Linked DNA regions of Neodiprion lecontei. The protein of the gene in region 1 interacts with the protein of each later gene in a pairwise test. Links are inferred from orthologs where the notes say so. Each region holds a gene or a part of one and is shown in the gene's direction. Other genes may lie near its edges.

Region 1 (6,371 bases):
TTCACCGTTATTGATCAGACGGCCCTCCGGCACGATCCAAGCCGCCGATGACTTACAATACACGACTGTAACGCTAGTTGCCTCCCTTAAAAATTTCACGGCGTGGCATTCGTGACACGCCCGCATCTCGCGATCCTTGAGCCCCGGGAATTCGCAGGCATGTATTGCGGTTCAACGAAGAGTAAAAGAAAGTACTGTTATTCTACAAAACAAATGCAAATCCGTAGTTCACGAAAAGCTGGATAAAATCTGTTAAAATGCGTTAGAACAGTCGAATAGCGTCGTTAATTTATGCTACAAAAATCAGACCAGACTAACGAGAACAGTATAAAACTGCACTATTAGTTCAGATAGATCAATCAAGATCTGGCCCTCAAATCTGGAGTAAACAGCCCGGGTCATGCGTGTCATCTCGATAACAATCGCGAAAGACTGCCAAGGAAAAACGGGGAACGACGATTGCGCCCCGGAAGACACTGGCCCCAAACGTCAGCCATGCAGGTGTAGATTGTATGCGCCCGAGGCCAGCGGTAGCGGATACGCACCTGAAGGTTTGAAGGAATCGAAGCCTCGAACCCAAAGCCGTGCCGAGATTAACGTCCAATTCAAAATTTTCCAGAATCGAATGTTGCAGCGAAAAGTGTCGATCAATTGGCCATTTGAGACCACTGTAAATTTCGTAAGGTAAAAACTCCAAATGGTGATAATTTTTAGAAAAATTTAGATCGCGGAAGGAGCGAGGGATCGATAGTCGGCCGTCGCTGGGTTCGAGGCTGCGTCGGTGAAGCCGTGTGCGCATGTCACTTTCCTACAACGATCTCTTTCTGTCGTGGCATCTGGAGGTGAGTGGTCGTACGTGCGTGCTCTCTGTTACCGTTCAGTAATCCGTCGAAATCACAAACAAAGTCCAGCCATCGAGGCTCGGATCAAGGCCAGAACTGAACCTTAAATTCCCGGCGACGTCGCCCTCGGTGTAGTTTAACGAAATATCGCCTACTTCGGTGAAAAAAATGTAACGATCCCGACCGGCTGCTGCTTAGCACCCTCGGCCGCATGCCGACTTCAAACTGTCCCTGTACTAGACACCCGGCGAATTCCGGTACTTCGGGAAATTCGAACCCGATTAAACGCACCCACTTCCTCATCCTTGAGCCCTAGACCTCTATTTCCGTGACATCCAGCCCTCATCGGCTTCTCTGCCTCGTTCATCGCTCCACGTAATGGCGGTGAGTTGTCACCGCAATTCGGGTTCCCTTAGGTCACTGTACAACCTTCTCACTTTCGCATCATTCGTTCATTTATTCAATCTTCCTTCCAGGTGAAGAGCTTCGAAATATACCACAATGCCCGTTTCCTTTCCGAACTCTCGTAACGAATCACTGCGTAGTCTGATACACCTAATCAAATATGTACATATGTTGCAACGTGACGCAATCGCGTATCGACGTATCCTCTCATAGTTTCCAACTATGTTCATCGAACTGCCGTTATATTGTTTGGAAGCAGGACTCGCCGCGTTGTTCCCGGGTCGGTATTTTGCTGCAATGCTTTCTTCCCTTTCTCTGTGATTCTCTGAAGAAATGTCCTCCATCTACAGTTCCAAAATGGCCGCGCGATCCCGTAAATCCCGCAGGGCACAAGCAGCAGTCGGTCTTTTTCCTTCTGAAATCTGGACGCATAACTTTCGGGGTGGCCACGTGGTATAAGTTCATGTTGAAGAGCGGATTTTTTAACGGCTTCTTTTGTTTGCACTGTGTTTCAGCTCTTTTGACGAACTCTTTAGCAACGAAACGACGCAAACATGGGAAAGGAAAAGGTTCACATCAATATCGTTGTCATCGGACACGTAGATTCCGGTAAATCGACCACCACTGGTCACCTTATCTACAAGTGCGGTGGTATCGACAAACGTACCATCGAAAAGTTTGAGAAGGAAGCTCAGGAGGTGAGGTTTCTACTCTGTTTTTTTTGGATTTGCTTTTTCTTGATATGTATACCGAAAATCTTTATACCTGATTCAATAGCTACACGTAACTTAAATTTTTAAATGGAGAGCTCTTTAAGCTTGTTTAATCATATCTCTCAACATATTTTTCCATAAATGAAAGCTTAAATCTACATCAAAACAATGAGCATGTATCTATTTCTGAACACTTTTGAACCCAATTAGTACAAAAGATTGTGATTTTTTTCTTTGGATAATTAATTTGCTTGATGATCGATATATTTCATAAATTATGTAAAATCTGCACTATTTGCCCCAGCAAAAAAAATTCTCGTTAGCAATCTAAGTTTGAATACCAATTGAAATATGTATTGATCAGCAATTCGATATTGTTATAATCTTATGATGTCACTGATAAAAACAATCTGGATTGGCACAGTGATGATAACCCTACAACTTCATTCGCGGTTTCCACCGGAGGACTTGAGAAAGTCCATTGATGGCTGAAGGCGTCTGAGTGTCAAATTAATACCATCTGGAAGTTGAATCAATGGCTGATGAGAGCACAAAATTAATATTCATATTATTTGCAGATGGGTAAAGGTTCCTTCAAATATGCATGGGTCTTGGACAAGCTGAAAGCCGAACGTGAACGTGGTATCACGATTGATATCGCCCTTTGGAAATTTGAAACTGCCAAGTACTATGTGACTATCATCGATGCTCCGGGACACAGAGATTTCATTAAGAACATGATCACTGGTACGTCTCAGGCCGACTGTGCAGTGTTGATTGTGGCTGCTGGTACGGGAGAATTCGAAGCTGGTATTTCCAAGAACGGTCAGACCCGTGAGCACGCACTACTTGCCTTCACCCTCGGCGTCAAGCAGCTCATCGTTGGTGTCAATAAAATGGACTCCACTGAGCCGCCATACTCGGAGGCTCGTTTCGAGGAAATTAAGAAGGAAGTTTCCTCCTATATCAAGAAGATTGGTTACACCCCAGCTGCTGTCGCTTTCGTTCCCATCTCAGGATGGCACGGAGACAACATGCTCGAGCCCTCGAGCAAGATGCCATGGTTCAAGGGATGGGCCGTCGAACGCAAGGAAGGCAAAGCTGATGGAAAGTGTCTCATTGAGGCACTCGATGCCATCCTCCCACCCAGCAGACCTACCGATAAGGCTCTGCGTCTTCCCCTGCAGGTAAATTTTGTCCATTCGCTTCATTCCGTCCATTCAAAATTGAAAAATAACTATTTTGATCAAGAAACTCTGGCAGAGAAATTTCAACCATTGTCAAAAGTTTTGTAAAAAGAAGGTCTTCCTAACTGTTCCTGGGTTTATATATTTACAGGACATCTACTGCTCCTTAAGTGTCCTTAAATTCTACAATTATTCTGGAAAACCAAAAAATGTCCCTGAAGTCCTAGAAAAGTTCTGAGATATTTTGACTTATCCTGGAAAAATTGACGTAATATATTTTTGAATGAAAACTGCGACATTTCATTTGTAATACGTAGCCTTCAATGCGTTAAATTTTAGTAGACCATGCAGTCGTTAAAAAGTCTATCAATCATTAAATTGGATCACATACTTACATTCGAAATTATTGAGATAAATTTTCCAACAATTAAAAAATCTTACAAAATAGAATAATTTAAACTCAAACATATTTTCTATGTTCCAACATGTTTATTATATTCTATTGATCGTCATTTTAATTCGTTTTTCAAAAGAATTGAAGGTGAAATTTCAATGTATATTTCGCTCCATTTTCCATTACTGAAGGTTAACTGATGCTTGTTGAATTTGTTTGCAGGACGTTTACAAGATTGGAGGTATTGGAACGGTGCCCGTAGGCCGTGTAGAAACTGGAGTTCTGAAGCCAGGTACCGTCGTAACCTTTGCTCCAGCAGGTCTCACGACTGAAGTAAAATCCGTCGAGATGCACCACGAGGCTTTGACTGAAGCCGTACCCGGCGACAACGTTGGTTTCAACGTAAAGAACGTTTCCGTCAAGGAACTTCGTCGTGGATACGTTGCCGGTGACTCTAAGAACAATCCGCCCAAGGGCGCCGCCGATTTCACCGCTCAGGTAACCGCAGATTCATTAAATTTCGATAAAAATTGTTATATGTTAATTCATGTACTTTTCGTTTGTGAATTATTCGACACTATGATGAGACGCTTTAATCTTCATTCGCGGTTTCCACCAGAAGACTTGTGGGTCTGTTGATGGCTGAAGCGTCTGAGTGTCTTGAAAATTACGCTCTTCTAATATTAACAGTGTCCTTGATTTTTATTAAATTGAAACCGTGTATAGTAGGTAATTAAATATTCATTAGTCATTCTGAAAAGTTACCGAAACTTTATTTTTCACCATAAGTACTAAGTTTCTCTTTGCTATCTGAAATTCAGCAGAGTTGTAATTCTTTTCATATTTGATTGATACAGTGGTCATTAAAGTTCGTTGGACTATTATCATCAAAATTCATGGAATAACTAGAAGCCGTTTTCTTAAATCATTACAACTGCAATTGAATTTTGTATTTCCGATTTTTCGTGGTTTCGATTATGTAAATTTACGAAAAATATCTTCAAGTTAGCAATTTATCGCAGTAAACTATATGAACAAAATTATTTTCATTGATAACTAATTCTTGCTTATTACGTATTGCAGGTAATCGTGTTGAACCACCCCGGTCAGATCAGCAACGGTTATACGCCAGTGTTGGACTGTCACACGGCACATATAGCGTGCAAGTTCGCCGAGATTAAGGAGAAATGCGACCGACGTACGGGTAAAACGACTGAGGAGAATCCAAAGGCGATAAAGTCGGGAGACGCGGCCATCGTGACTCTGGTGCCGAGCAAGCCGATGTGCGTCGAAGCCTTCCAAGAATTCCCGCCATTGGGGCGCTTCGCTGTGCGTGACATGCGTCAGACTGTCGCTGTCGGTGTTATCAAGGCAGTCAGCTTCAAGGATGCCACAGGCAAAGTCACCAAGGCCGCCGAGAAGGCACAGAAGAAGAAATAACTAGCTACTATAACGGATGACCACCGTGAGGTGGCGCCGCCGCTGCCTCCCTGTCCCGTGTCTCAATTAATTGATTATTATTATTATTATTGCGATAGTAATAAGTCGGCTACTGCCGCTGCTGCTTCTGCTACCCTCATGGTAGTTAACGTTGCTGAGATTATGATATCCATTATTATGATTATTATGACACGGAGGACTGACGTCGCGCCATGCTTATTATTCACGAAACGTTGTTTATTATTTCTTTTACTATCTAAATCCGAATGGCTGATACAGCAGCACTGTTGTTTCCACCGCAAGGAATTTCGCAGGAAAAAATATTACCTATTGTAATAATGTAATAATAACTTTTTAAAGATGGCAACCGAGCAACATGAATTACTATCAGCAAAAAACATAACAACAAGGTAACTAATTGAACAAACTACAAGTGCTGATTAAATTTGTGTTTCTTTTCTTTTTCTTTGTTTTTATTTTTATTTGTAACGAGAAACCATCTGGTTAATTGAATGATTGATTACATTGGTACGGTGAAAATTGAAAATAAAAAAAAAAGATTTTAATTTAATCAAGCAGCAACGACGACGACGATATATCTTCTACCACCACGTGAAATATTACAAACAACAATATCATTGAATTTTAATGACAAGAAAAACAAATATTGTCAAACTTCTCGAAATAGTTGATGAAAAAAAACCGTCTCATTGGCAACTTTATTATTCCGACTTGCATAACGTAATTATTTACTACCTATAATAACTATTATTATTATTATTAATAATACTATATAGCAACAGAAACTTCACCCCTCCTCCTGTTTTCACAACAAACAAAACTAGAAACGAAAAACTTATTAATTATTTAGCTCGGCTTAATTATATTTTCTATCTAATTATTTACGGAAATAAAATCTTATATCGTGCGATATTCGAGAAAATAATGTTATTATTTTGAATTTTTTTTTTTTTTTTAACTAAACTTTGTACGTTGTGTCGCAATTAATGATTTTATTTTTCTCAACGCGAGAATCACGATGCATAATTTTATTTATATTTAAATGTACTTATTCTTATTATTTTAGCCTAATTTTGCTAAGTGAGTATTTAATCAATTTCCGTGGTAGTTGATAAAGAACTTATTTCGCTCAACAAATTGATGTAGGAGATGATTGAATATATATTTTCTAGAGTTGAGGTTTCAAATGGAGGGCTTTCTTGGAAATGAAATCTTGATTTGCTTAATTATATATTATAAATGAAAATTGGTTGAACGGTTGATTTTCAAAAAAAAAAAACGGACATACCATCGATGAGAATAAGAAAATGCAAAAGTGGGAATTGCATCGTGCTGCAGAATTGGATGAATACGAAATACAGCAAGGTAA
Region 2 (4,916 bases), on another chromosome or scaffold:
ACATTTTCCAGCAGGTGCTTTGTCGCTTGCCATTTCTCTTCTGTTTGTCCTACGCTCTCTTCGCTGCGATTTCTGAGTTCCTGAGGGTCCGATTGGTCAGATAAGGGTCATTTAAATCGAATCCGAGACCGAAAGTTTTTTGCCCAAAAAAAAAGTAAGGCTAACCTCTTTGTGTTTTTGGCGAAAATTTTTGCGATTTTGAAAGTGCTGGAACTAATTCTTTGGCGCACTCTATCGACGTGATTTTGCGAGAGAAATCGATTGGGCGCAGTTCCAATACACTGCGATCAACGCATCAAAAGTTACAGCCAAAAAACGAGGACCTGTGTTTTCGACGTTTTTCAGCAGGCGCTTTTTCGCTCGCCATTTATCTCCTGTTGGTCCTACGCTCTTTTCGCTGCGATTTCTGAGTTCCTGAGGGTCCAATTGGTCGGATAAGGGTCATTTAAATCGAATCTGAGACCAAAAGTTTTTTGCCCAAAAAAAAAGTAAGGCTAACCCCTTTGTGTTTTTGGCGAAAATTTTCGCGATTTTGAAGAGTGCTGGAATCAATTAATTGTAGCACTGACCGGACGCAATTTTGCGAGAGAAATCGATTGGACGCAGTCCCAATACGCTGCGATCAACGCATCAAAAGTTACAGCCAAAAAACCGGAACCTGAATTTTCGACATTTTCCAGCAGGTGCTTTTTCGCTCGACATTTCTCTCCTGTTGGTCCTACGCTCTCTTCGCTGCGATTTCTGAGTTCCTGAGGGTCCGATTGGTCAGATAAGGGTCATTTAAATCGAATCTGAGACCGAAAGTTTTTTGCCCAAAAAAAAAGTAAGGCTAACCCCTTTGTGTTTTTGGCGAAAATTTTCGCGATTTTGAAAAGTGCTGGAATCAATTAATTGTAGCACTGATCGGACGTAATTTTGCGAGAGAAATCGATTGGACGCAGTCCCAATACGCTGCGATCAACGCATCAAAAGTTACAGCCAAAAAACCCGAACCTGAATTTTCGACATTTTCCAGCAGGTGCTTTTTCGCTTGCCATTTCTCTTCTGTTTGTCCTACGCTCTCTTCGCTGCGATTTCTGAGTTCCTGAGGGTCCGATTGGTCAGATAAGGGTCATTTAAATCGAATCCGAGACCGAAAGTTTTTTGCCCAAAAAAAAAGTAAGGCTAACCCCTTTGTGTTTTTGGCGAAAATTTTTGCGATTTTGAAAGTGCTGGAACTAATTCTTTGGCGCACTCTATCGACGTGATTTTGCGAGAGAAATCGATTGGGCGCAGTTCCAATACACTGCGATCAACGCATCAAAAGTTACAGCCAAAAAACGAGGACCTGTGTTTTCGACGTTTTTCAGCAGGCGCTTTTTCGCTCGCCATTTATCTCCTGTTGGTCCTACGCTCTTTTCGCTGCGATTTCTGAGTTCCTGAGGGTCCAATTGGTCGGATAAGGGTCATTTAAATCGAATCTGAGACCAAAAGTTTTCTGCTCAAAAAAAAGCAAGGCTCACCCCTTTCCATCTTTGGCGAAAATTTTTGCGATTTTGAAAAGTGCTGGAACCAATTCTTTGGCGCACTGTATCGACGTGATTTTGCGAGAGAAACCGATTGGGCGCAGTTCCAATACACTGCGATCAACGCATCAAAAGCTACAGCCAAAAATCGAGAACCCGTGTTTTCGACGTTTTTCAGCAGGTGCATTTTCCCTCGCCTTTTCTTCCACATTTCACCGACTCAATCCCAAGCTTCCATATAGACACTACTTTGGCTGCTAGGAATGTCGGTATGAGCCCGTTAGATAGAGTCGATAGAGCAGAACCCTCCTACGCTCTCATGCCCACTGGGCCCACTAGCCCGCCAAAAGCTGATCACAAAAATTTACCCAGGGTCATTTAATTTACCCGTCTTAATATTTTTCAGTCAAGAGTAGGGACTTCTCCACAATTTCAAATACCATAACATCTGATTTGACTTTAACGTTACAATTGGTATTTCCGGTCAGGCTGTCAGACAAGAGGGGACATTTGACAAATTAATAAATATATAATTTCAGTGTTTTCAGTGAACGACCAATATACAATATATCAATTTAAGTATGCATCAAGATCAAAAGTAAAAAAATAAACAATCAAAGAGTTCGTACAACAGCGGGTCGTCGTGAAGAAGGAAGAACTATGAGTGCGTTCACGTGAAAGAAAAATAACCACACTGGTTAATAACCAGTTGTTTTATGCCAGTCACTGTAAATCTATTCGTAGTTTTGTTTCGATTATAGCAGTTTATTGCTTATAATTTCACACACTACTTACGAACCGCGATTTTGTTGGAGCCTCAGAATGGAACGTAACTTAGAGAAAACTATGGATAACGTGTAAGTTATCGAAATAAGACAAAATTCATAGATTTCACGTTACGACGCGCCTATTTCAAACAATTTAAAATACGCTAATTTTCTCATGAATTTTTTTTCCACGCAATTGATTGACTGCTTTGGAAATTCATAACAATGCCCACGTAATTTTATTGTTGCTTAGAAAGTATGAACCAATTTTCTTGAAGGCTTCATACTCAGACTTGATAAATAATGTTAAATAGTAGCCGCATTCATAACCTTCACTAACATCAATTCTGACACAACTCATTTTTCTCCTTTGATGAAGAACTGAAAAGGGTAAAATATACCAGAATTGACGTAGGTACAAATTCTGAATGTTATTTAATAATGACATATTTACAGGACGAATGTCGAAGGAGTCATAGGATGCATTTTGGCCGATCGTCAAGGCCTCTGCTTAGGAGGTAACCTATAACTAATTAATAATCAATGTTTACTATTTTTGATTCTATGTTTGCATGAATTTCCAAATGTCATACTTGTCAAAGCTCAAAAGATATGTATTTAATTTTCAGCTAAGGGGAGTGCATCTGGGCAAAGCGCTGGGTTGATAGCAGCCATTGCTGATGAGGTAGCAAAATTAGAGCCTGAATCAAACGCACCCATTATTGCTTTAGAAAGTGACAATCGGTATGTATGTGCACATTTCAACTTGCTTATACTAAGGAAATATGTAATTAAATCTGAAGTAATATGTGTTCTCATTTGTTTACTTCGGTTCAATGCCCATCATTTTATTGGAGCTCATTCTTTATTCACAATGATTATTTTATGCAAATTTGAGAATAACTCCAAGTCAGAATTGCTGTGCAACTTGAATTCTTCAATAACGATTTCAGGCAATGCATAATCCAGCGTCAGGGGCCTATAGTTGGTGCTATCTACAAAGCTATATCACCCTGAAATCTGAAATCGACGTTGAGACTTAACAATGGATTTGTACATGAATTAAAATTGATTCTTTATGTTTAACAATATCTACTTGAAATACGGCTCAATAATGAGTGTTCGTTCTACGTTTGCTGTAATACTATATTTTGTTCAGATTAAAGATTATATTCTTTGTTTATAATAGACAAAATCTTATCTTCTAAAATTCCATCAATCATCACTTGCACAGTTCCATGACTATATACACTCGTAAAATCATGTCCAAAATGAGAGTAATGAAATACATAATCCAATTTAGTTGGGTGCATTTCAAGTCAAGATTTGATCATTCCTAACATTACTTCTTCTCAATTGTACAAGGTGATACTAGTTTAGTTATTCTTTTGAATTTAAGTCTGCCCTTGGAATTTTTTTATTTCTAACATTAGACTTGATTCTCTGAAAATGGAACTATTTTCTTCAAGCTTAACTCGAGTTTTGTTTTTCACCAGAAAACCTGATTAAGCCAGGTGCGTATCAAATTTGCTTTGTCACTTGTTTCTTTGCTTTAGGCTCTCACACTAAAACTCTGCAAGTATACGCGTTTTCACACTGCCACGAGAGAATAACCTTCTATTAAAATTGTTTTGTTGTCTGAATTACAATTATTAATAAATAATAAGGAATTCTTAAGAGTATAATTGCACACTTTTAAGCGTCCGATTTTTGTGAAATTAAGTTTGAGATAAAAGTGAGAAAAAAAATTCAAATGGCTTTGAATGTAAAATATTGTGTCCGGAAATAATGTCACATTAATGAACCAAGTCATGAGGACAGTTGTCATTTTTACTATTAACATATTGTCTTGTGTAACTATATTATAAATAATCTTTATACAGTCATATTACAAACAATAAATAAGGACTCATTGGTCAATCATCTTTTTTATGTTTGTTTCGCCTATCGCGCCATTTGTTTACACCGAGTTGAACCAGGTCTTGATGTTCATAAACCCAGGAAGCCATCACCAGTCCAAACATTACGATACCGATGAACAGATGGATTAATTTTTCGCTCGGAAAAAAGTATGCCTAAAAAGAATGGAAAATATAAATTTAGTTTTGCCGTGTTTATTTCTCTACCATTTCGCAGCAGTAGAAACTTTTGATGATTTCAAGATTTTATCAAGTATTAATACTGTTATTCTTACCTGTGACACTTTTGTAATAACAGCTGCTAGTATTAAAGATGCAAGGAATATTGGTTTAGGTACGAGTCCTAATAATGGTCTATATTTGGTATTTTCGTGTCTTCTTTTTATAAATTTGGTTGAATGCAAAATTCTCAAAGCCATGTTAACGCAGTTTCCAAAAATGAAACCAACGGGCCCAAACCAAGATGCAAAAAAATATGACACTACTAGGAATGCTACAGACTCATATATCATAATATAATTATTCCGGTCAATGGTTTTACTGTCTGCTGTCGCATTTGTATAACATTCTGTAACTCCATTTATTCCTAACAGTAATACTGCAAGACAATGCGATCTCAGTAATAAAACTGGTAAATAGGCTGTCAACTTTGGCCCTCCATATAACCAGAGTAAAAGTGAGGAATAAGATTGGCCAAAAACTAGAACAATCAATCCAATTGATGT
Region 3 (4,258 bases), on another chromosome or scaffold:
CCTCTTTTACCTGCTCTACTGCCAGCATAACGCCTGAAAGTGCACCGTATGCATTAAATTTATGTAAATCATTAGCTCCGATGCTGCCATCATATTCTTTAGTATTGCAACAGATATTGCATGGTATATGACCTAAAGTACAAAAGTCAACTTATTTCATATTTATTATCTATTTCAAAGCGTCACAAAAGGGTGACTAAATACATACCGCGTCTAATTTCAACAGGGTTAGCACCTTTGCTGATTTTCTCAAAACCTTCTTTGGCGATTGCTCTGGCCAAAACAGTTGCGGTTGTCGTACCATCCCCAGCCTCTTCATTAGTATTGTTGGCAACGTCTTGTACTAGCTTTGCTCCAATGTTTTGAAACTTGTCTTTGAGCTCTATTCCTTTGGCTACTGTTACTCCATCCTTGGTGATTTTAGGGCTTCCCCAACTCTGTTCCAAAATAACATTACGACCTTTAGGGCCCATTGTTACAGCTACCGCGTCAGCTAGTATATCCACACCCTGCAGCATCAAAGCTCGAACTTCGGGCCCGAAACGAACATCTTTGGCATAAGATCTAGAGTGGAGATTCAGCTGGCGCAGGGCTACGCCTCGTAACATATTCGGTAGTCTGTACATCTGTGAAATTGAATTGAAATGAATAATTCTTCAGTTGTTGGTGTTTTTCCTTTTTAGCTGTATGGCAGAATTAGGTGTAAAATAAAAATCCAATGCATGATACACTTAAATATAATTAATTCAGGGCAAGTATCTAATGTTCGAATCAATCTATTGCTGTTTAAAATACAAATGAAGGGATTAAAAGTTGTGATATAAATGATTAAATGATGACATGAAACTAAAGCAATGAAACAGGTTAGATTATGATATGAGAAACGTTGAAGCGCGGTTAGACCATGTCTGAAGAGGAGAAACGCCGAACTTGGTTATGTAAAAATTTTACCAGAATAACAGGGTGTGTACAGTGATGAAAAAAGAAAAATATTAAAAATTATATACGAAAATGATTTAAACCGCATTGGATTTTGTATCGAAAAAGTATTTAATGGTAAAATTTGTTAGTTCATCTAATAATTTGCCGAATGCCGCGTGCATAGCAATCTTTTATCAAGTTAGACAAGCCGTACGATCTTAGGATTGGCAGTGGAATAATTAAGGAATATAATAGAATTGTGAAATAACAATAGACTCGATTACCTTCGTAAGTGTTGCGATTGAAAACGTTAGATGCGAAAGGAAGAAAAATGTGAATATAAATCGAGAATCGTTGTCGCCGCAAAGAACCGCGCGTTGCTCCCTGAATGGAATGAGAACAGCTAGGAGGTCTGCGATATCACATGGCCTGCTATCCCCACCAACTCGCTGCTTACTTCCCCTCTCGGCCAACGATCTTTTGTTAAATTCGTAAAAACTCACAGTTCATTTAATATGATTGGTAAAATACTATTCTTCACAAGATGTTTTAATTATTTTAGAAACCGGAACGATCATTAGATACCTTAATTTCCTTTACATACGGATTTTATCCGGCAAAGTTAATCGCCGGTCCATGTGTTTTCTAGAAGTTACGAGATTATAGATGATGCAATAAACTAGAGATCTAAAATCATGCATCAATGAAGTTGGCAATGTTGTCTTAAATAAAAAATTGATGACGGTAAAACGTTGGATGATATTCCTGTAATCGGAAATACTATTGACCAATAAATTATTTACAAATTGATTTTATCATTTGTTGATTATTTCTAGAATCTCCCAAGCAGACGATCGATATAACAATCGACTTCCCATTCTCGCCGCATGGTGGCGCCTCTCCCAACAATGCAGCGACGCGAACGCAACAATGAAAATCCGTCATCGGCAACCGAATCTCGGGAACCTCGCGTTACGTAAGGCGCGTTTATCATTTCGGAGGGGAAAAATTGATCGCTGAATTTGTTTTGGTGGGGCGGGCGGAACAACGAAGCTTCGAGAAAATTCAACCACGGGAGGCCCATTCCGACTCTCGACAAATAGGTTACACAACGTGTGCGTTTGCCGGCTAAGGTTCAAGCTCCCCGATCAACTCGTCACACGCGCCAGTTAAGATAATTCCTCAAAATGGTACGTATCTCTCTGGACCGACTCAATCGCGGTGCCACATAATTCTACGGGAACGATATAAATCCATCATTTAAAGAGCAAATAAATTACAGCTGAATACCCATGTGACTGACATGCATATTAAAATATTTCCCTAAAGTATTAATTTCTTGTTGCCGTTTCAAGCACACTCACAAGTTGATGAGAAATCACGTGTATTCTCGCGGGTAGCATGATGTTCATCATCTCAAATATTTTTAACCTATTTCACAGGCCGTCGCCGCTGCAGCTAAGAGGTTGATCCCACTTTTTGATCGAGTATTGATACAGAGGGCCGAAGCTGTGACTAAAACAAAGGGTGGCATTGTTATCCCAGAAAAAGCTCAAGCCAAAGTACTCAAAGGCACTGTTGTTGCAATAGGTCCTGGATCTAGGAACAATGTAAGTTTCATTCGTAGTCGCTGCTTCTATTCAAACACTAGAGTGACTTCAAATACAAGATAGATTGAAAGTCTTTGCGACCATTCAACTCTATTCTAACCGCTCCTGCTAGGCTCAGTGGAGTCATGCTTCCATGTAAATGGTCACTTCGTTCTTCCACATTTTAATTTTGAAATAACTCATCAAATATAATTAGTAAAATTAAATTTTATTTGATATTAGTTGGTGGCATGTTTTATTTGATTGGAAATCAGCTGAACATTCATATACACCACATTGAAACGAAAATTGGTTTATCTTACTCAATCATTTTTTCTAATAAATTTTTTGCAACAATTATGTTTAATCATGTTTGAGTATTTGGTGGAAATATGTCCCGGAAGTGATATGAAGTAGTAACTTGAACAATATAATTCTTGCTATTTCGACAGCATACGTTTGAAATTCAATTCATTTGAAGTCCTTGATTTTAACGGTGATTCTAATGCTTACACAGTACTACAAGATCCAATATGCTGGCTCTATAATAATAGAATAGAAATAATAATGTATTAATAAAAAAAATTATATCTAATTGATTTGATCGAAACCATGTTTTTTTCTGATTACAGAAGGGAGAACACATGCCTTTGAGTGTCAAAGTCGGAGATGTTGTGCTGCTACCAGAATATGGTGGAACGAAAGTTGAGCTTGAAGAGAATAAGGAGTTCCACCTATTCCGTGAATCTGATATCCTTGCTAAATTGGAATCTTAATGCTGTTGTAAATTCCAACATTCGATGAATGCCAGAAACTGAATATTTGTGGTAGAATGTCCATAATCTCATTGTGACATACCAAATACGAACACAGCCATCATCCGTGTTTATAGAATGCAACTAATAATTGTTAATTAGAATTAATTGAAGGTTATGTTTATTTCTCTGTAAGTCTGCTAGTGCGTAGGTGTCATTATTTCATACACAACGTTGCGTAACGAATAAAAATATTTGTTTAACAATTATTTTTTATCGCATTTTTCGTCTTCATTAAATATTTCCAATCAAGACCTGTATACCACCAATTAATTAATTTCGGTATATTTCATACATGTACTATGAGAAATATTTTTGCGCATGTCTCAAATGTGATATTACATCCAAAACTCAAGTTAGAATTTATTTTGTACATGTTTTCTTTGAATGATTGTTAATTTTTACTTTCACTTCAACTTAATGCTCTTCTTAACGCGAGCATTGATTCCAAAGGTCTCTCCACCATAGCGTGTCTCCTCCTTTCTGACTTCTCTCACCTGAAACAAGCAATTTCAATTATTGAGTAATACAGCTTAAGTGCTAAAAAATATAAATAAAACTACAAATACGCACCGCTCCCTTTCTTCGAATTTTAGCCTTGCGATACTTGTTCCTGAGTTTAACTCTTGGGTTGCGTAGATCCTTCCGACGGTGCGGGGTCAGTCCCTTATTCTTTGCAATTTGGCGAGTAATGGCTCGCTTGCCATCAACATCTTCAAACATAACTTCAGTACCCTGGTTCTCAGTCTCGTCAGCGTTTTCATTCACCTCAGAATTTTCATCCTCCGTCTGTTCAATTGGTTTTTCATCCTGAACAGTTTCAACAAAGTTTCTCTTGCCAGTTTTTATCTGCTCATCAGGTAAAACAGCGGATGGCCTCTTTCGGCTCTTTTTATCAAATTCAACATTGTCCAGATTGTAAAGCGATTGGTT

Evidence for each region.
Region 2: the proteins of elongation factor 1-alpha (region 1) and ragulator complex protein LAMTOR5 homolog interact in a two-hybrid assay, tested with the Homo sapiens proteins (2 studies listed by BioGRID and IntAct). The link is inferred for Neodiprion lecontei from reciprocal best matches to the Homo sapiens genes EEF1A1 and LAMTOR5.
Region 3: the proteins of elongation factor 1-alpha (region 1) and 10 kDa heat shock protein, mitochondrial interact in a two-hybrid assay, tested with the Homo sapiens proteins (2 studies listed by BioGRID and IntAct, with this or other methods). The link is inferred for Neodiprion lecontei from reciprocal best matches to the Homo sapiens genes EEF1A1 and HSPE1.

The regions. Positions count from the first base shown.
Region 1 is NC_060264.1:21,332,214-21,338,584, reverse strand, and holds elongation factor 1-alpha, read left to right. Parts: upstream 1-1,762; 5' UTR 1,763-1,801; coding exon 1,802-1,945; intron 1,946-2,538; coding exon 2,539-3,147; intron 3,148-3,763; coding exon 3,764-4,039; intron 4,040-4,624; coding exon 4,625-4,981; 3' UTR 4,982-5,552; downstream 5,553-6,371. UniProt on the Homo sapiens protein: Translation elongation factor that catalyzes the GTP-dependent binding of aminoacyl-tRNA (aa-tRNA) to the A-site of ribosomes during the elongation phase of protein synthesis.
Region 2 is NC_060260.1:24,485,882-24,490,797, reverse strand, and holds ragulator complex protein LAMTOR5 homolog, read left to right. Parts: upstream 1-1,982; 5' UTR 1,983-2,327; coding exon 2,328-2,362; intron 2,363-2,728; coding exon 2,729-2,790; intron 2,791-2,901; coding exon 2,902-3,016; intron 3,017-3,225; coding exon 3,226-3,289; 3' UTR 3,290-4,188; downstream 4,189-4,916. Other genes in the region: protein RFT1 homolog, read right to left, coding at 4,189-4,347, 4,467-4,916. UniProt on the Homo sapiens protein: As part of the Ragulator complex it is involved in amino acid sensing and activation of mTORC1, a signaling complex promoting cell growth in response to growth factors, energy levels, and amino acids.
Region 3 is NC_060263.1:38,385,009-38,389,266, reverse strand, and holds 10 kDa heat shock protein, mitochondrial, read left to right. Parts: upstream 1-1,950; 5' UTR 1,951-2,108; coding exon 2,109-2,111; intron 2,112-2,363; coding exon 2,364-2,531; intron 2,532-3,142; coding exon 3,143-3,286; 3' UTR 3,287-3,534; downstream 3,535-4,258. Other genes in the region: heat shock protein 60A, read right to left, coding at 1-33, 209-626; something about silencing protein 10, read right to left, coding at 3,733-3,822, 3,899-4,258. UniProt on the Homo sapiens protein: Co-chaperonin implicated in mitochondrial protein import and macromolecular assembly. Together with Hsp60, facilitates the correct folding of imported proteins.